Linked DNA regions of Caenorhabditis elegans. The protein of the gene in region 3 purifies or fractionates together with the protein of the main gene of each other region. This does not show direct contact. Each region holds a gene or a part of one and is shown on either strand. Other genes may lie near its edges.

Region 1 (7,255 bases), on a different chromosome or scaffold from region 3:
CACTTGTTTTTGTGGCGGCGACGGCGGACAGTGATAAGGTGATAAGGAAAAGGATAAGACCCCACAAACCCCGTTTTTTTTGTAAACTTTCCCCAGAGAAACTGCATGTTTACTGTGTAAAAATTCGGGTTTTTTTTTTCAAATTTTTGGGTTGATCCGCCATGTTTTATGGGTTCCGAGCTGCCTAGCTTTCTTGTGAACGTGGCCTAGTTTTCAGAAACTCGGCCACGCAGAAAATCGAAAACATGGTGCATCGATGGTGAAAAAAACTTGATTTTTTGCCCCAATTACCACGTGGTGTCAGAGTGTCTCATTTCGGCTTGATCTACGTTGATCTACAAAAAATGCGGCAGAGTTCTCAACTGATTTCGTATGGATAAGAAGGTGCCGACGTCACAATTTTTCGGTGAAAAAATTCCCGCATTTTTTGTAGATCAAAACGTAATACGTTTTGATCTACAAAATTAATGGGACAGCCTGGCACCACGTGCAATTGTTCTAAAGTTCCCCAAAACGTCGATGCATCATATTTCTGATAATAAAATTCTACCATTTTAAACTGATTTGCCCAACAAAATGCCCCAAAATCCCTTAAAAATTTTACAATTTTTGCCCTCTGACGTCATTCTAAAAAGTTTATTTATTGGGAAATTGCTTGGTTTATTTTTAGTTTTTTCTCCTTGAAATCCAAAAAAAATCTGACATTTTCAAGAGCACCGCATTCAAAATTAATGGGAGTTTCTTTTCTTTTTTTTTTTTTGAAAAACATTTCGTATAGAAATGATGAATTTTAAAGAAGAAAAGAAATTTTTTTTTCGAAATGTGAATTATCAAACAGAAAACTGAAGTTATGTTAAGTCAGATTTTTTAAAGTCCAAACTAAGAAAATTCGAAAAATTCTGGGATTTCTTTTGCTGAAGATTCCGCAAAAAAAAACCGAACATTTTCATGTTTCCCTACAAGCTTGTGGTTTTATAGCATTTTTTACAAAAATTGTGTTCTAAAAATCTCCCTTTTTGGCTTTTTTTCGCTGAAAATTTGAAATATTCGACTTTTGCCGTCAAAAACCGGTAAAAATCAATTTTCACATAATTTTTCTGTTGCAAAATATTTAATTTTATTTTAATTTTATTTCTCAATTTTTCTCCTAAAATTCAGTTTTATTGTTGGAATTCATGGAGTTTTTGCCTGAAAATGAGAGTTTAAAAATATATTATTTTCACACATGTCGTAAGATTCTGCGCTCGATCCGCATTTTTCTCCATCCGTGTTTGCGTACTTTCGTCACACGCGAGTTTAATGAAATTTAAATCGAAATTTATCAATTTTCTCATCATTTTTTCCTTTTTTTTCAGGTTCTCTCTTGTCTCCGCCCCGAAGAAGTTCCACATTTTCGCGAAATTATCAAGAAATACAATAGCGGCGAGCAAAATGTGAAGATTTTCGCGCAAAAGCTCGTCGAACTGCTCGGCCCCGGACGAAAAAAGCGTCTTTCATGTGAGTTTCTACAACACTCCCCTCTTTTCTTTTCTTCGAATTCAATGCAATTTCCTGTGCCAATTTGCAGACCTGAAACATGCGTTGAGAGCCGGCGACATGCTCCAATTCGACTCGGCGATTCTTTGAAATACGCGGGTCGTCAAAATGCGGGTGAGTGTCTTCGTCGTGAAATTGCAATTTTTCTTTTTTTTTTAAAGAATTTTTATCGTAGAAAATTCTGTTTATTTATTATTTAATTTTGCAGGGAGATGCTGATGAAGATGTGGCGGAGACGGATGGATTTCGATTGGATTTTTTCTTTTTTTTACATTTTTTTTCAAATTTTCTCCTCTAAAAGTCGGTTTTTCTGTGAAAACTACCCGCAAAATCTGAGAATTTCGCGTTTTTTTTCTGAAAAATTGCGTGAAAAACCACAATCCACTTGGATTAAGCTGAAAAATCGGCAATTTTGTATATTTTGTCAGGATTTTGATTTAAAAATCGAATTTCTTGTGAAAAATTTGCTTTTTCGGTGAAAGTCGGTTTTTCTTGAAATTTTGCACGAGGTTTCTCCTGAAAATTGGCTTTTCTTAGATTTTTTTTCATAAAATTCCCGGAAAATTTGTGGTTTACTCAAAAAATGCCCCGTTTTTCCAATTTTTTCCTGTAAATTTGGTGGTTAAAAAATGACGAATTTTTTGCATTTTGTGGAAAATATTTGTTCGGAAAAATCACAAAAATTCTCGAATTTCGTGTAAAAATATAGAGAAAAACGACATTTTTTCCGCTGAAAATTGAGTTGTCTTAGATTTTTCTGATATAATTCCCTGAAAATTAGTGGTTTTCTCAAAAAAAAATGCACCGAATTTTTTAAAAAATTCCACGTAAACATGCGCAGAAAATTCCTTTTTTTTCTGAAAATTTGAGCAAAAATTGCCGAATTTTCTTCAAAAATGATGTTTTTTTCGCAAAAACTCAAATTTCGTGTGAACATTTTCGGAAATTTATCGAAAAAACTGCATTTTTTCGCTGAAAATTTGAATTTCCTCTCGATTTCTCTCTCACTTTTCCGCATTTTTTTCCGTTTTTTCCTCCCCGCTCCGCTCAAAAAAATCAATAAATAAATACTTTTACAGATCAAAAGGTGATACCTCCGACGCCCGCCATCCACCACATCCACTCACAATCCGAAAATTAATCGATAAAACAATAAAGCGACCAGCGGAAAATCAACTGGAAATGAGCTCTGGGAGCCGTCCGTCGAGCGGCGGTGGTGGTGGTGGCGGAGGAGCCAGTGGTGGAGCCGGTGGTGGTGCTCCAGGTGGTGGTGGAGGTGGAATCCGTGGATTCTTCTCCAAACTTCGTAAGCCGTCTGATCAGCCGAATGGGAATCAGGTTAGAGTTTTGTGGGAGGTTTTTTTGCAGGAAAAATCGCTGAAAAATGATTAAAATTTACCTTTGTGTAGATTTACGGGGATTTTGGGGGAAAATATGCGGGAAAATGGGCAAAAATGATATAATTTTGATAAATTTGGCCTAAAAATCCCGAGTTATTCGGTCATAATGTGCTCAGGACTTTGTAAAGACCTATGTGGATTTACGGGGGTTCAGTGTCGATTTACGAGACTGTAATGTCGATTTACGGGGGTTCAGTGTCGATTTACAAGACTGTAATGTGGATTTACGGGGGTTCAGTGTCGATTTACGAGACTGTAATGTCGATTTACGGGGGTTCAGTGTCGATTTACGAGACTGTAATGTCGATTTACGGGGGTTCAGTGTCGATTTACGAGACTGTAATGTCGATTTACGGGAGTTCAGTGTCGATTTACGAGGGCTGTAATGTCGATTTACGGGGGTTCGGTGTCGATTTACGAGACTGTAATGTCGATTTACGGGAGTTCAGTGTCGATTTACGAGGGCTGTAATGTCGATTTACGAGGCTTTAATGTCGATTTACAGGGGTTCAGTGTCGATTTACGGGATAACATTTTCCGAAATTTTACTGAAATTCGACTAGTTTTGGAATGAAATCCTTCAATTTTGCAAAATCTTTCCAGGATTATTTGGTGTTTTCCGCAGCTCCGTGTATATTTACGGGGGCCTGTGTCGATTTACGAGAGTTTTTTTTCAATTTGGCGAACTCAACATTTGATTTGAGTTTATACCATAAATGCAGTTTTCTAAATTGAAAATTTCAAAAATCTGTGTAGATTTACTGATGCCTATGTCGACTTACGGGCGAAACTTTTGGTGATTTTCACCAATTTCAGCCAGATTTTCAAAATTTTCAGGTTTTTTGTGCACAGAAATGGTATCAACTTTGACATTTTTTACACATTTCCGGTTGAAATCCTCGGATTTTTGCTAGATTTTGTCTGAACTTCTAGATTTTCGTGACCAGAGATCATTGTCACTTTGTGTGGATTTACGGAGGAGCCGATTGTCGATTTTCTGGATTTTCTGCGGTTTTTCCGGGGTTTTTGGTGCTCCAAATGGAAAATTCTTCCGAATTATTGCCTAGACTCTTCCGACTATTCTGCTGGTTGTTCCGAGTTTTTCAACACATATTTTTCCAATTTCCCGCTCCGGAGCTCTCCGCCAATTCTGCTGCTCGGCTCTCTCCACAGGACGCCTGCAATACGACACCAACTGTTGTTTGATGGCTCCATGGGGGTCGCGTAATGATCATGTTCATGTCGACTTGACGAAATTCCTCTTATCACAACAAATTGAGCCTGGTGATAGCAGACCTGGTGGTGAAGAGTTTTCCGTATTTCTAGTCCTATATTCCGTGCTGAAATGTGTGGAAGTGTCTGAGTATGAAAAGATGATGAAGCAGCAGCCACCCAGGATTTATGTGAGTTTTTGGCGGACCGAAAACTTGGAGAATTGGAATTTGATTGGCATTTTTTCGCCTTAAAATGCGACCTAGTGGGGGCTAAATCCCAGATTACGGTAGAAATTTCAGAAGTTCAGCTCTAAAATTAGAAAAATCATCGACATTTGAGCAAGACATCAGGATTACCGAAAATCTGAAATTTTTAGGCGAAAGCTTGGATTTCCGATGGCTTTTCAGTTTTTAAAATTGACAATTTCAATAGTCTAATAATGGATTTTTCCTCGAAATTTCGCCCAGAATCACGGAAGAAAATCGATTCTCATCTGAAAATTCGAATTTCGCCTTCACCGCATACGCGCCCCACTGAGAAAGTTAGGCATTTTTTCTCATTGGAGCGTGTTTGCTACTAAATCCACGTAGATTTTTCTATTTTCCGACAAAAAAATAACTGCAAATTGATCGATTGATCTGAAAATTGATATATTTTTTTATGAAAAAAAAAAAGTAATTCTCTTATCAATCCCTATCGGCCGAACTGACGTCATGTTGTTCCCCACAGCTCAAAGCTTTCGAAACAGTGAAAACTCGGCCATTACTAAAAATGCCAAAATTCGCAAAAATTCGAAATTTTGGCAGAAAAAGGCGGCGGCCACGAGCCGAAAAATCTCGGCCACTTCACGGAGTTTATAGAATAACCGAACAATTTCTTTTGCTTTTCGGTTTACACCTGCTTCCCGGTGAAAAGTCTAGAAAAATTTGAGCTTTCTGAATAGAAAATACATCTAAATTGCCATTTTTTTCCTGTTAAAGATCGCAGAAATTCAATTTTTCCGATATTTTGGCAGAAAAAGGATGAGATTTGACCCAATCTTCCTATAAATTGTTACTTTTTCCCATAGCTCAAAGATTTCCGAACAGTGAAAACTCGACCATCACGTGGTGCCAGGTGTGTCCCATGTCGGTTTGATCTACGTTGATCTACCAGAATGCGCGGGAAATTGGACGCAGACTTTTCAACTTATTTTGCATGGCTAAGAACATGCGGACGTCACATTTTTTAGGCCAAAAAATCCCGCATTTTTGTAGGTCAAACCGTTATGGGAAAGTCTGGACCATACCGATTTGTTCCTCGGTTTTTCACGTGCTCGTGGTGTCAAAAAATTCCAGCTTCCCAGACCACGTCTCACCTGGAAAATTGATCGATTTACGATTTTTCAGAGTCGAAATTCGCAAAAATTCAATTTTTCGAAATTTTGGCACACAAAATTTCTGAAAATTGAACAATTGATCAGAAAAAAATTCGATAGTTCTTCTTATCAATTTTCTCAATGGTATTTTCTTCCTGGTGAACTCTTCCTTATGCACAAGTGTACGTGCTCTTGTGCAATTGTGCATTGCACAAAAAACGGGTGAGCCCATGCCGATAGGGACGACCGACGCTAATAGGATTTTCCTCCCGTCGTCGGGCCGTTTTTCTCATTTTTTACAAGCCAGTTTCATTTTTTTATGCCCAAAAAAAAAAGTTTTACTTCATTTTTTTTTATTTCAAGGCCCCACCACCCCTCGTCGTCATCACTATTTTTGGACGTTTTGCATTAAAAATATGTGCGCCCTCCCATTTTGCCAATTTACTTTTTTTTAATCACCTGCCTGCCTGCCCCGGCTGTGTGTCAACAACACACAGAGAGAAACACAATTTTTGAAAAAATACAACTTTTTTTTGTTGTTTTTGATCTCTGTCGCCCAACGAAATTGAGTGAAAGACTTGATTACCTATTTTCTAAGAAAATTGAATTCCCGCCCTGGGGAGACACACACACACAGGAAGCACATTTTTTCTGCAATTTTCCAAGAAAAATCTGAAAACTTGTTGAAAAATGAGAATTTCCCACGATCACATGCATCAAACGCGCCCTAATGAGAAAAGTATTCAATTTTCTCACTGGGGCGCGTTTGCAATATGCGATCGGCGGGACATTTGAATTTTTTTTGTGTGCGGACACTTAATTTTATGCACTTTTTGTTTACTTATTTTCCTGTCCTTGAAGCCCTTTTTCTGCAATTTTTCAAATAAATTTCCACTAGAAATATTTTTTGCTCCGCAAACGCGCTCTAATGAGAAAAAAAGCGAATTTTCTCACTGGGGCTCGTTTTCTGAATGTTATCAGTTTTTTACCATTTTTCGAGACGAAAAATCTAGATTTCTACGAAAATGTACGTGGCATCCCAGAATTTCTGCCTTAAAAAAAATGAAAATGTGGAAATTTAAAAATTTCTGAAAATTTTCAAAAAGCTTTTGAATTTGTCCGTGGGGCCCGAGAATTTCTGCGAAAAAAAAGCAAAAATATCCTTTCGTTTTCCTGCCTCATTGACTCTGAATCAGGTAGAAAAGAAAAGGAAAATGGAATTAGAACACACGGGCGGTCTCGAGACAAGAAAAAAGTCAAGGAACAGGAGCTGTTTTTGTCGGCCCAATTTTTCACAGAGAAAAAGGAAAGTAATTTCCATTTTCAGCCTAACAAAGCTGCCTCGTTTTTTGTATGTTCATTCATGACAGAATAGTGTGGGAATTGGTTTCTGAACACCTTTTCTTCGTCGATTTTTTCTGTCTTCGAATTTGCCGAGATTCTTATCTTGTTACGCCTCTTGTGCGCCTTTAAAGATCACTTAGAAATCGTTAGATTTTTATTTTGTTTCTTTTTCACCGTCACGTCACTTTTACTATTGACATTTTCTGGTTAATTACTGTAGTTCTACAGTAATCCAGAAATTTCGAAGTTTCCATGAAAAAATATTGTCAGAATCAAAGATTTTCTCGTGTGGCAAAAGTCAATTTCCGTTTAACATTGAATTTTCGAAAATTGTTTTCGAGAGAGAAGCTGAAATTCGAAAATTCAGAATAAAGGATTTCTGAGAATCTTTCTCTCGAAAAAC
Region 2 (6,932 bases), on a different chromosome or scaffold from region 3:
AGTTATAACTGTTGTTACAGGATGCCCATGGCAGGTTAAAACTGAAAATAAAGTGAATATGGCAAAATTAAAAGGAATGGTGGTTTTTAAAATTTTTCTGGTATAGCATTGGCAAGATATCCGAATAGATATCTAAAAATAATTAGTATCAAGTTTTAAAAAAACTGTAATTTTTTTCTTGAAATTTTACCAGAGGCTTTGTAGAACTTTAGTCATTTTTGGTAGACTTAGACAAGATTTTTGACATTAATTGCAATAGTTTTCCAAATTATGGCGGTAAAAATTTATAAGATTTAAAAATTATTTGGTTTTACTATGTCTTTATAATACCTAAAATAAGCATATTTTGTCCTCACCTGAATGAAGTATATAAATAATGAAGCCCCCAGGCAAGGATCACATTATAAAAGAAATCCACATAGAATGCGGTTAAAATAACACAATATCCGATTCCTTTGAACAACGGACATATTCTTCCCCAAGTTGTGATTGCTCCTTTTCTATAATACTGGCCGAGGCACAACTCCATGTAGAATAGTGGAACTCCTGTCAACAGGACCATTATAGAATAAGGAATCAGAAATACTCCTCCTCCATTTTTGAAGCAAAGATATGGAAATCGCCATATATTTCCCAAATCTACAGCAAACCCGACAACTGAGAGAAGGAAGTCCAGCTGAAAAGATGGGTTCATATGTAGAATTACAGGCAAGATGGATCTTACCTTTCCAGACCACTGTTCTCTTGCTGGATCTTTGGGTTCTGTATTAACTGGTCCATCAATAGGAAGAGTTGCATTTTGCATGCCATTAGACGTCCGACCGATTTTTTCGTCGGGATCGTCTGAAGATTTGATTTTAACTTTAGTTAGAAGTCACCGACTAATTTTTAATCTAATGTTAAACCCTGTGAAGAATTATAAAACTTAAAAAAAAATTTTAATGGTAAGTTATACTATACCCAGAGTGTTACGTTGGTCTCTAAGGATGAGAACTTTAGCCGCGGGTCTCGCCACGCGGAGAACGAATTACTGTAACTCATGTCAATTTGCAGACCGCTATTGTATCATATTCTTTGTTTGCGTGGCGAGACCCATGTGCGTAAGATTTGGCGAAGATTCTCATCTTGAGGCGTCTACGTAATAACAATTTCAGAAAGATAGCTTTGTTTTATAACGAAAGTCTACAGATAAATAAGAGTCGGGCAAAAAACGAAATACCTGTAGGCACCAACTGCATGGCTAAAAATTGTTGAGATTCGAGTAAACCGTAGCGGGATCAGCTTTTCGACTAATTTGGAATATGGACCTGAAAACACATGAATCTAGTATAGTTTTAAGATATTTAAAAATAAAATCAGCTCATTGAGCCCGTAGCTATCCACTTTTCTTGTCAGAACAAAAAAACCGAAAGAATGGGAAGAGGTAGAGATTGCCTTGGAATCTAGATGTGGTGGCATGTCGAATATTCCGGTGTATGTGTGCCAGCCTCAATATCATCGTCGTTTTTCTTCCAAATTCTGCTTCTGAATCATGTCGGCGTCTCCTAACGACGCAGTCTCAGTTGGTGAAGACTACGGTGCGGTGGATAATTGCCGGAAAGCATCTATCTACTTATACTTCTTTTCTTCTTTTTCTACATTTATCCGAGCTATGTGTATATGTTTGTGCGATTATATCTGCTTCAAAGGGGTCATACTGGAATAGGCATGGATTTATTGTTTTTAGAGAAAAGGACAGGAAAAGATTTGGGAAAAGGGCATTGGTGTGTACATATGATCCCAAAGTTGCTCAATAGAGCACTTTTGCACGCGGGTATCGGAATTTAAGAATGCATAATATTTGAAAGAAATGAAACTAGCGAAGCTAATGATAATGTCATAGATATTTTGAGGATACGAGAGAAAGTGTATGAGGTCGTTTTAGTGAAAACTGGATTCAAGTTCCATTTCATGGATTTCAGAAAAGTATTCAGAATTGGGAATGTGCTTTAAAATACAAAAACGACTAGAAACATTTCAGAGATAATTATTCGGTTGTGTGGGCAGAAAGACTTTGTACTTCTCGTAGGTTGATGCCGCTTTTTGGCGAATTTTTGATAGCAGTGGCTCGGAGATGAGGAATGAGACGTTGAGGACATCTTGGCTGAAATAAAAATGCTAAATTTTCAAAAATTTATAGAACTCTCTGAATATTCTCACAATTTTCTCGTGGACAATCGCTCTAATTTTAATTGCTATCTTTTTACGGACTTTTTTTTATTATCAACCAATTTTTCTCTCATTTCTAGATATTTTCTACTTCTTTTCTACCTGTTTCGTTGTAATCTGTTATTTTTGATCGGTAGGTGAGGGAAGTGCTGCTCGGCGAAGCGCGATGCGATTTAGAGCAATAATTATTTTTCGGAGAGTTTTGTTGGAGTAGGATAATCATTTCCTTTATATTTTTCTTTGGTTTTCTCTTTTAAATTTGTAGAAAAAACTTACAAGTAAGTGGAGGGAACTAGCTGACGAGCATCTTCTGCAACCAGAAGATAGCATCTACCGGGTGCCCTGATGAGAAGATTTTGCTCATGTAGAATATTTTTGTCATCTTCATCGCAGGAATACTAAAACGGTAGAACAGTTTTTGAAAATTGCCGATTTCCAGTTACTTACTCTAAACATTCGTGGATACTTGTTGAACAGAATCGACGGGGGCATTCCCATCACTTGCGCAATTTTTGTCGCCGTTATAAAACGGGTGTTCACATCGATTCTGTCCGGATTCCACCGAATGACTTCGTTCATTGTCGGTGGCGTCATTTCTAGTCGATATGCTTCTTCATCTTTACGTGGACGACCTCGTCGTCTTTTAGCATCGGAGCAGTGGCTGACTCCAGACACGTCTGAGCTATCCGATTCGTATCCTCTCTGAAAATATCAGCATTTTTGATATACTTTGTTTTGTATTTTTTAACCACGCCGTAGTGATTAAAGTTTTGAAATCGTCGCCAAAATTTGCTTTAATTACTTCCGTTGTATCTATTAAAATAGTTTTGAAAGGTCCTTTTTTGAAAACAGTCGGCGAAAATTTTCCAGATATTTTCTAGAATTGAAAAATATAGTTTTTCATTCTTTATTCGATTTGAGATTTGAATTACCTTTAAATTATTCTCATGTTCTTGACTGTTGATATCAAGGAACCCATTTCCATTTGTACAAATCGGTGGCATAGGCTCCGGATCTTTTTGATATGGCTTCTTTGCAGCCTCCAAAATGTTACAGTACAAACCATTCAAAACTGATTCGTCAACAACATGCCCATTTTTGCGGAGATTTTCGATAGCTGGTAATAGCGTTGTTCTAGTATGCCTCTCCATAATCTGATGGATTTCTCTCGATATTTCCGCTTGGAAAATCTGAATAATTTTCATTTTAATTACTTGAAACATTAACAGTCCATACCCGTCTCATTAGATCCAACGAAGATGGTGCATCGTCTGCCATATCCATTTTGTTCCTTTTTATCACGTGCTTCAATGAATTTACCTGAAATTTTCCCAATTTCTTTTTCCGGTGTGAGTTTTTTGTTGCTTTTTTAGCAAAATTTAACTCTTTTTCATCCTCCACAAAAAACTCGATTAAAATTCACACTTTTTGCAGGGCAATGTTTAAATTAAATCAGTTGATTGTCATAATGCATCATCCAACACTGTTCACAATTTTTAAAAAGAACTAACTCTTGCTGACGATCCATCGTTGCTTCCATCCATTTCTCTGCTCAACAATTCATCGAGAATCACTATCCTCATATTCATTTTGTTGCCATTCCCATTTCCAGTTTGCCGTTCGAACATTTTCAGTGCTGAAAATTTAAATTTTAAGATTTGAGTGTATATGGGTGACTACGTAGAAAAAAGAGAAGAGGAAATAAAAGTGGCAGTCATGCTAGCTGGCTGGAAAATACTATCGTCTTTTGGATAGACGCAGAAAAGACGCAGCACTCTCTGCGACTCTCCAGGCGGCATGTTTTCCTCATACTCTCTCCCTGACACGCTCTCCCTGCCTTCTCTCAACTCACTTCTCCGTTGGTTTTGCCCATCGCACAGAGTTTGTGGTTTTTGTTTCGCTTTTTTCTCTACTAGTTATGATGTCCATGCTCCCTCTTCTTCCATTTCCTATGTTCACTTTTCTCCGAAGGTGGTAGATTGAGAGTAGTAGCTTGATAAGATCAAAGACATTGGTCAGTTTTGATAAACCTAATGTTTGTTTTTCTATTTCGTGGTGAGAGGAAAGAGACAAATCGGCGATCCGGTTGGAACATTTGGACAAACACTTGTTCGCACTAAACCAATCAATCACACAGTAATCAGTTCGACGGTTCTGTTTTTGTGTCATTTGTTATATTCTTCCGTGTTGCGTATTTTCGATTCTATCTTTGTCAAATAGTATTAAAGTTGTGAAAAAAGTTTAAAAATCTGTTCTTCGAAAACGAAAGCGATCATTCTTTAATTTGTCATCCAGTTTTGATATTGTCCATACTCGAAATCTTGCGTTTCTTACGCTAAAAGAACGGTACTCTTTAAAGGCGCGCACATTCTTGTATTTAACAACATATTTCGTGCCGAGACCGGATACCGTATTTTTAACGCAAAATTACGGAAATTTTGCGTCGGAGTAATATTTAATTCCTATGTTAGCGTAATAGTGAGTCAAGACATTGATTCTGATTATACCTATTTAAATTGTTTCAAATTTTTTACTTCTTATATCTGCTGATGTGAAGCTGTCTAGAATAAAAATGTTTAGTTTGAACGGACTAAATTAGTATAAATCTGATTTATTGAGTGTATATAAAATTTTCTCCTCCTCTTCCTCATGTCATATTCAGAAAGGCCGTCTTTGTTCTTAACCTATAATATGAGCATGCCATGGTGATATCTCTCGAAGCGTACCTGGATATTCTTGAAAACCATTTGCGTCATAGCTAGGCTTTTTTCCAGTAGAGTTCAGCTGTTGCCATTTGGCGTTTGTGTCAACCAGCATCATTTCTGAAATCAAGATTTTCTCTAGCGCTCGAGAAATAATCAAATTTATAAACATCAATATGTCTCTGAATATTTCCAAAACATTTCACACACTCCTCCGATTTGTTCACCACGCTAGCTGTTGTGTTGGCGCGCAAGGAGTTTGCACTACAAATATCCATTTTCAATGATCGCTGTCTGTCTCAAAGCCGCGATGGAAAACCCTCTTTCTCATCGATCTTTTCAAATTATTATTTTCATCTTCGGTTCCGTTCATTTCGAATTCTAGTTGCTCCAAAAAACAATGAGAACCGCCGCGGGTGGGTCCTTCGCAATTCAAGACGGCAGTCGCTTTCGTGGAAGCAGTTTCACTAGGTCTTTATTTTGCACAAACAAAGTGATGGGTTGTTGTTTGTGCTCACGAATACTTTTCTTCCCTTCTTTGTCCCTTCGTGTGACCGATATGTCTGCCTGTCTGGATAGCTGTTTTTCTTATTTTTGTGCTCTGTGTTCATCTAATTTGTGGGGGAGCATGATCCTATTATGATCACTTGATTGTAGTTTTCTGTAGAGGTCTGTAGTGTTTTAATTATTATTGTGGAAAAACTCAGTTTTATTTAAAATATTGGTTAGAATCTGGAAAAAATAATTTAGAGACTCAAAAAAAACTGAAATTGTGTATGAATTTTTCAAATGCATCACTGAAAACATAAGTTCACACTATCAGCTCTAGATATGAAGCCTAGCACCTGTTCTTCACTCGCTCTCTCTCTCTCTCTCTTTCCCTCTGTCTGCATTGATTTTCGAGAAGTCTTTGACCAAGCGCAGCTCATTGAAATTAGGCCCTCTTCTCCTTTGAAAGACTCGTCTTGCTCTGTTCTCTCCTTCCTTCCTGTGCTCATTTTGTGCTTCTCCTCCTCCAGAATTCCCCGTTTCTAATATATACACAAAGTGCCATTTCAAGACCCTCCTGCCCTGTCGTTCTTGCATTTTCCCTCCCGCCCGTCAAGTTGACGGCAACTGCCTTGCATTCCTCTTCTATTTTTTGTGTTGCTTTTTTTCCTTTCTTCCATGCAATCTTCGCACAAATTATTGTTGCATTCTTTTCTACAAAAAAAGTGTTTTTGTGGGACTCAGCAGCCTAAAGCATAAAATTGAACGAAAACCAGGAAATAAAAAAAATGAAAATGGCACATATCGATGTTTTCCGGTCCGTTGAAATTCGAATTCCTTCTTTTTTACACCCACATGACTTTGAAGTTTACTTACACTTCAGCTCCATTTTTTGCCGATCAACACTCACTGACCATGCTTTATTGGTTCTTTTGACACTTCATTTGAAACAATCTAACAGACTTTTCAAGCCAAAACAGTCGTATTCTATTTATCAGTAACGTTGGTCACTCTCTGATAGAAATAGACTGATGGGTTGTATTGAATTTGAAACTGATAAGCTAGTTGAAAGATCATTTATTCTCTCTTGGATTGTTGTATTACGCTCCAAGCAGAGTTTTGATTCAATTTTCTTTTTGGATTTTCTATTTTCAATAAATGTGTCATATTGTTGACGCTATTGTATTGTTCCGATTAGAGAATATACGTTTTGAATCATATTTTCCTTGTTTTTTCTTTGTCGCTTTAACTTTATTATGTCCTTATCAATATTTACATTTTTTTAGCGGTCACCTCACTGCAACTTTTTCCTCACGAGGGACGAGGAAAAGTGGTTTCTAGGTCATGGCCGAGGGGCCGACAAGTTTCAGCGGCCATTATCTTGCTTTGTTTTCCGCCTGTTTTCTTTTGTTTTTCATCGATTTTTTTCATTTTTTCTTAATAAAACTGATAAATAAATATTTTTTGCAGATGCTAAAACAATTTCCAAGTAAAAAAATCATGTATTCAGTGGGCAAGCAGCGGTGAAAGTGG
Region 3 (7,085 bases):
TCTACCACAGGAAAAAACCAAAAATCAGAATTGATCAAAATTGAAACACGGAACAAAACTGACAGTAATGGTTACACACAGACTGTCTTGAAACGAAAAGAATGCTCAGAAATGCTTGAAATCTCAGATATTTCAGGGACTAAATTCTTCCTTTTTCAGGCGGCAGGAGAAAAAAAGAAGGAAATATTGAAGAAAGATGAAAAGAAAAAGAGACAAGCTTTGAGACTGGGGCAGACATATAGACATACTCCTCACGCCCTCTTTCCCTTTTTCTCTTCACTCTCTCTCTCGCTTACTCTTTTTTTCCAATTTTTCGGTTGAAAACAACGACTACGGTCACAAGTCTTCTGCAATAGACAACATGGAACAAAATGAATTGAAAAATAACAAAAAAAAAATGTAACGATGTAACATGGATTTTTCAATTTGAATATAGTCTACATTTATAGTACTTTACTAGTTTCTCATTTAGTTGACCAAAAACCGTTCCTGAATGTACCAGACAAAAGTGGAAGGTATATTTATGTTTTGAGCCGGCATATCTCACGGAACTGAACACCTCATTCTCTTTTGTTTTGACTGAGAAACGAATAGGGGTTTGGTGATGAAAACAAAGTAGAAAAGGAAACTAAAAAAGAAGAAGCAGATGAAATAGAAACTGATAATAACATATACTATTTTTCTTCACGAATTTTTCAAGTAAAACATGTACTTGCTATGTTTTCTTTTGACTTTTCGTGCCAGACTATGAAATTAGATATTTGTGAAAATACAAAACAACTTTTAGATTAACCAGACAAGGATATTTTATTGGTTTTTGAATCAGATAACTAGATTCCTTACGTCATTTTTGCAACTTTTCTTTTTATAGATTAAGAAATTGCGTAATGGTCTCGCAAAATGTTTGAAACCCCATGTGTGGAGAAATGAATATTTTGAACTCGATTTCTATAATTCTAATTTTGGAAGGATCACAATTTTAATTTAAGATTAATTTGTTACACTAGCATCTCAGCTAATCACATTACGTAAATATGTCTTCCCTAATATGAAAAATCTTGAGCAAGTGCATCCCTAGAATATATGGCATTTCAGTGACGGGTATTTGGATATTCTGAGAATTTCGTTGCGTTGTAAATATAGATAATTAACTGGAAAGTTCATAAATCTCTGGTCGTGTTTGTTTTTCCTAGAATAAATATGTGTACAAAGTGTTTTTTTTTTCGAACGAAAAATATACAAACGTTGGCGTAACTCGTTTAACGAGTAAAAATGTTTTGCATTCGAATGCTTGTTTATTGATTAAATATTTGTCTTTTTGAATGCACAATTATCTAGATTTGAATTTTTGAGAATTCCAAAATTTCTTATGCACCGAACAATTTCTTATCTATCAGTTGCACAAATTTGATTGCGTTTCGTTAACTTTATGGCCACTGAAATTAAAATCATGCATCAACGTGATTTGTCGCAACATCCATCACCTCGAAAGGGTATTCGTAAAGATTTTGATTTTCTGTTAAAACAACTACCGTATTTCTTCTATTAATATGGCTGCAATACTATTTTTAGATGGTCTTCCCGCTTGCAATACTAATAGGGAGTGCAAGACTATTAGGGAGTGCAATACTAATTTTCAGAACATTTTCTGACTTTGAGCTTACTAGTTTTTTCCTGAAAAAGCTCGAATCATATGTAAAAATTCAGAAAATTTGATTTTCATATAAGTTCAAAAACTTCAATCTCGTAAAAATGATGTGAAAACTGTTGCAAAATAGGCAATTTTTTTTTGTTGAAATCCTGAAATTAGCGAGACGGGTTTGCAATACAAAAAAAGTTAACGCAAGACTATTAGAGAGTGCAAGACTAATAGGGAGTGCAATACTAGTTTTCGGAAGGTCTCCGGGGGGGCAATACTAATAGGGAGTGCAAGTCTAATAGGGAGGCCATATTAATAGAAGATATACAGTATACAAAAAGAGGAAGTTGATATATACTCTGATTTTACAACGATACCTATGATTTTTGGAAGGCTGTGTTTAGAGCTGTCCAGAGCCGGAACTAAAAATATGCAATACTTCAGCTTCGAAATTTAGCCCCGGTCGCTGAAATGGTCATCCGAGTTTTTTTGCATTTTTTTCGTAATGTGAGGTAAGAAAAACAGATGTTCGCCAAAAATGTGCAGTGTAATATTTGGTAAGCAAAAAAGTCAAAATGATAAAACTGAACATTCAAAAGTCTACAAACTTTGTTATTGAAATTAATTTTAACCTATGTTTTTAATAGTTCTTGAGCTTGTCTTTTTTTTTTTGAGAAAGTGTCTTTAATTTTGAACATTTATTGTTTCAAGACCTTTCCAAGATTTGTCCGTAAAAATATATATGAAACGTGTTTTAAAATTACAACCATTTGAGATAAAATAAAGCGCTATCAAATATATTGTCCTCAGAAAATTAACTTTTCAAACAGAAAAAAAAAACTTACGGATTATCAACATGATCTAGTTTGATCTCTATTCCATGCCCGGCCGAATGTTTTCTCATATACATTGGATTGTGATTACCATTTGAAGCCGCCTGAACCAAAAAATATTAGAATGTTGAATAATAGAAGGATTAAAAAATATCCTCACTTGATTTCTCCAATGTTGTTGAGGGTGTTGCTGTTGGTGATTAGCATGATACGGATGGACCTGATGATTTGGCATAAACTCATTGTTTTGCCACGTACGAGGAGTCTAAAATTGCGATTGAATAGTAATTATTTTTCTTTCTATTTCTCACATATTGATCGGGATACATATGATGAGAGTTTTGCGATGAGAAGAAATTTGGAGCCAATGAGCACTTTCTAGGCGGAACTGAATAATGATTTGGAGTTGAATAGTTAGGAAGCTCGTTGAATCTAACACGTTGATTTTTTCGATTTCCATCCTGAAAAAGTGGTTTGAAAATTCAGGAATATTATAGAATATCTTACGGTATTTGTAGAAAACTGAAGTGGTGGAGGTGTCACGTTGGGTGGTGAAAATCGGAGAGGTTCGTAAGAATAGTTTTTTGTCTGGAAAATAAATTTTTGTTAGTATACATTAAGAAAATATTCGGATATCGTATTTTATAGGAAACACTATGTTTATTAATATGAAATTCAAACTTTTAAAATTTTAAAATTTGCTTAATTATGATAGAAATTTTATGTTGATTGCAAAATTACAAATATAATCAATCTCTTGCCAACATTTTTCGTTATCGAAAATAACTAATAAACAAAAAATTTTTGTTCTGAATCGTGTTAAATATGTTTTGCAAATTCTAGATAGTGAGAACTATATCAATGCAAATTTTAAAACGTTTCGGTCCAGTAGTTTTCCTCTGACCAAAAATTTTTTGCTAGCGTTAATTTTAGATTTTTTTGGATTCAGCCGTTTCTATGCTCCAAATTGCATCAATTCGTCATGACTCTTTTACAAAAAATTGAAGGAATGTATGAATATGAATATTGAGCTACTAGATCCAAAAATCGATTAGGATAAAACAACTTACAGGTAAATGATTGTTCTGATGTGACTGCCCTGACATAATTGAAGGTCTGTGTTGTTGCCCTGATGCTTGATATTCTGGAACATGCTCTCCGCTGGAACCTCCGTTCTGAAAAGTTTAAAAGTTTATTTTAAGACACCTACTCAATATCAATTTTTAATGCATTTTTTGTGTGTTTTGGTGAATAGTACCGTTCATGGAAAAACACGTTTGAATATTTATATTCACTAATTTTATGTTCGTGTTGCTATTGCAAACCTTTTCTGGAAAATTATTTTGATAAAAAGCATCTACATCTCTACGATTTGGGCCAGTTATAGTGGAAATCGATCTTCTAGGAGCGTAATAATTTGGAGGATGTTGAGGTGGTGGCATTGGATTTTCATTTGGAGGTGGTTGTGGTGGCGGTTGCTGGGGCACATCAGGAGCACCCCATTCAAAAGGATTGTGCAACTGATCCACGTTGATCTGAAATAATAACACTTTAAAAAGCATATTGTGGAGCAAAACACAAGAAAATTGAGTTTTTTTCGGAAAAGGTTTACGGTATGACTGAATATCAAAGCAATGAAAAAACGGGGATGATAGAGCAGAGAGCATGAAAAAAAAAAGTGATGATCAATAAAAAAGGGTTAAGCGCAACATTATGTATCATTACATGATAGTTTTTGTGTTGAACTGGTTGATTTTTTGAACAAGAAATAGTACTTATGAAAGCACATAAACTACAAACTGAAGGAGTTTAAAATGAGAGAAAAAGAACGAAGATACTTGAAACTGGGAGTGGATCTCTCCTCTTTTAGGTACGGCGGTGTCGTTATAATAATGGGTGTGAACTTTCTTTTTTGTAGGATCAATTGATGGTTTTCATAAAAAGAAATTAAGTTCAGTGTGGCAGAGTAGTCTCCAGCAGAAATAAGAATCAACTAAACTAAGATATTAAAATCCGTTCAAAAATAATAAGTGAGCATGAACTTCACCTTTTGTTGTGACCTGGCTCGACCCTTGTCTCGCCATGTCACAATGTCTCGTCCTCCGATCTCATGAGAGATCTCTTGGACGAGGTTTCGACGTAAGACAATACAAGATTGCTCTGACGCACAGTGCTTTCACTGCGCGGCGACTCAACCAACAACAGGATACGCAGCCATTGGACGCCACCACTTCAGTGTCTCCTGCTGCGCCCGTGCCGAACGGTCGTGCGTAGCACAGCTCTCTCCCCGACAAACCCCCTTCTCTATTATGTTGCCCCATACTGATATTATGTACGTGCTCTGATACCCAAAGAGACCCCGACCATTCATACACACGACCTCTTCAGACCAAAGACCCGCGTGGCAGGACGTGATATTCTCACACCAGACGATTTCCCCCTCTCTTGTGTACGACCCATTCCCCCTCTGTTGATTATCTCCCCTTTGGAGTAATAAACATATTTATTAAAACTGTGTTCTGTTCCTTCCAATACATATACAAATAGACGATGCCATGCTGCACCTCTGACATAGTCTTCGTTGCTCGGTTCCTCTTGAGGCTTAAAGGGTTCGGTCTTCCGCCACTCCGTGGTGCCACAACACCTTTCAAAACAAGAAAATATAACGAAGAATAATAAGTGATCATTGGTGTTTAGGAAGATCATGTTTTTCTATGTCTCAAATTAACTAAATTTAGATACATGATCATTTGATGGACTGGAAATTTGAGTGTGAGGACTAGTTATCGATTATCAAAAAAAACATTAATTAGATCCAAAACCATTTTTAGTTCTCTTACTTTGAGAAAAAACGTTAAATAAGATTTCGGCCGCTTGGGTCTAAACAAATTCTTTGTACCATTATTATGCACTAGTTTTAGTGATCACATGACACTTTTACTATGAAAATCGCTTGAATATAGAAAGTTTAGTCTGGCCTTGATTATAAACAAACTAACATATGAAAAGTGCTCTCTGCTAAACAAAACGCCTGCAAATTAACTTTTCATATTTTCCAAGATAACAATTAAAAAAAATTAAATAATCTATCAAAAAATATACTTGCATGCGATACTCATAAGAAAACTACGGTAGCCTGATTTTAAAAGATTTTTCCAGAAATATAAATTTTTGGAGAATCTATCCGTCACATGAAACTGACAATTGACACAATCATATTTATGCAAATTTGTTTGAAATACTTTTTTCTGTGCAACTGTGTAAAATTTCGACAAAACAGTTCTCGTTCGTCGATTGATTACAGCAAAAGATAGAGAAAAAGGAGACCTGACATTTGACTTTTGACCAATAAAGGGCACAACAGGGTGGGTGGAAATGGAGAAAGAGAACAAAAATAAAAGTTGTAGTAGTAGTAGTCCTTAATGAGAAAAGAAAAGAAAAAATGAAGAGAGGAAGAAGTAGAAGAGAAAAGGAAAAGAGTAAAGGCAACGACCCATCATCATCGTTTCTTTCTTTCCGTTGAATTCGTGTAGAGCGGCTGAAATGACGTGGAAATCACGTGACTAGCTAAAAACAAGGCACGCAAAACGGAATTCCAATGTTTATACGGAAATCCGTTTTGCGTTTGTACGCTTATGAAAAACAACTAGAATAATATTGAAAAAGGAAATAATTTAATATTTTTAGTTGATATTATGCTAACTTTTTCCTTGATCTAGAAGTTTTCAAGTATTGAATTTCATTTACAAAAAAATTTTCTGTCATAACTGTCAGCGAACCACAAGACTTTTGTTAATATACCAACCAAAAGGAATCATAAAATGAAAAGATCGAGTTCAAATGGCGATAAAAATCATACCGATAGGTTGAAGACACCACCGCAAAGTAAATGAAGCTAGAATAAATCTAAAAGTATATAAAGAATGAAATATATAATGTGAAGATGTGAATTCTTTATTCATTTTTTCTTGACTGCATTTTTGATTGAAAGCAGTTTTTGTTAATAATTCATTTGGTCACGTTTCTCAATGATGACTTTCAAATCAAAGAGGAAAGCTCATGAATGGAATAGGATATAGTCTTAAGATTTATTTGAAACAAGCTGATCTCAAAAAAACTGTTATTCTTAAGATGTGAAAGACCAGAGACCACAACTCAAAAAATTTGATTTAGTTTTTTCGGAAAGGTAAAAAATGTTTTTCAATCATTGAACACCGATCTTATTTTGTATCAGCTTTGGAGAGGACATTGCAAGATTCATACAACAGAATGAAGACCTATTCCATTGAAATGATTTATCAATGGAGCAAACATGACAAACTGAATAACTGAGAACATAAATCAAAAACTGAACAAGAAGAGATAGAAGATTTCTCTAATTTTCATTAATACAAATATCTTAGCGATTTTGATGGCCGGTATATATGTATGGTGTATGGAAAAGTTAAGATTTCAGGCAACAGAATATATCAATTTAAAAATCGGTGTTAGATAAAGTTCTGTGAAGTTAAGGCTCGGGTTCACAAACTAAAACATGTGTTATTTTTTGGCGATCTTTTTCTATTTTGCTTTTCGCACTCGACTTTAACTGGATTTCAAAAAATTCATTGTAC

What was found.
Region 1: the proteins of saeg-1 (region 3) and egl-4 purify together in Caenorhabditis elegans (affinity purification with western blotting, with the first as the bait; one study listed by BioGRID). This does not show direct contact.
Region 2: the proteins of saeg-1 (region 3) and saeg-2 purify together in Caenorhabditis elegans (affinity purification with western blotting, with the first as the bait; one study listed by BioGRID). This does not show direct contact.

What each region holds. Positions count from the first base shown.
Region 1 is NC_003282.8:1,845,353-1,852,607, forward strand, and holds the start of egl-4 (cGMP-dependent protein kinase), read left to right. Parts: upstream 1-2,718; coding exon 2,719-2,874; intron 2,875-4,312; coding exon of another isoform or gene 4,313-4,339; intron 4,340-7,255. Other genes in the region: ccm-2 (CCM (Cerebral Cavernous Malformation) gene homolog), read left to right, coding at 1,356-1,497, 1,568-1,626. UniProt on the Caenorhabditis elegans protein: Promotes chemoreceptor gene expression in response to increased cGMP levels by antagonizing the gene repression functions of the class II HDAC hda-4 and the mef-2 transcription factor.
Region 2 is NC_003281.10:9,237,281-9,244,212, reverse strand, and holds saeg-2 (Suppressor of activated egl-4 protein 2), read right to left. Parts: upstream 3,851-6,932; 5' UTR 3,792-3,850; coding exon 3,720-3,791; intron 3,529-3,719; coding exon 3,445-3,528; intron 3,399-3,444; coding exon 3,141-3,398; intron 2,911-3,140; coding exon 2,656-2,910; intron 2,607-2,655; coding exon 2,485-2,606; exon of another isoform or gene 2,420-2,484; intron 2,206-2,419; exon of another isoform or gene 2,144-2,205; coding exon 2,017-2,143; 3' UTR 1,699-2,016; downstream 1-1,698. Other genes in the region: dat-1 (Sodium-dependent dopamine transporter), read right to left, coding at 1-41, 357-676, 725-843, 1,220-1,238. UniProt on the Caenorhabditis elegans protein: As a likely component of a histone deacetylase complex, together with saeg-1 and hda-2, functions downstream of the cAMP-dependent kinase egl-4 to regulate the expression of genes required for egg-laying and foraging.
Region 3 is NC_003283.11:10,861,786-10,868,870, forward strand, and holds the start of saeg-1 (Suppressor of activated egl-4 protein 1), read right to left. Parts: upstream 3,915-7,085; coding exon 3,798-3,914; intron 3,648-3,797; coding exon 3,543-3,647; intron 3,061-3,542; coding exon 2,980-3,060; intron 2,934-2,979; coding exon 2,784-2,933; intron 2,738-2,783; coding exon 2,633-2,737; intron 2,577-2,632; coding exon 2,485-2,576; intron 285-2,484; exon of another isoform or gene 151-284; intron 1-150. UniProt on the Caenorhabditis elegans protein: As a likely component of a histone deacetylase complex, together with saeg-2 and hda-2, functions downstream of the cAMP-dependent kinase egl-4 to regulate the expression of genes required for egg-laying and foraging.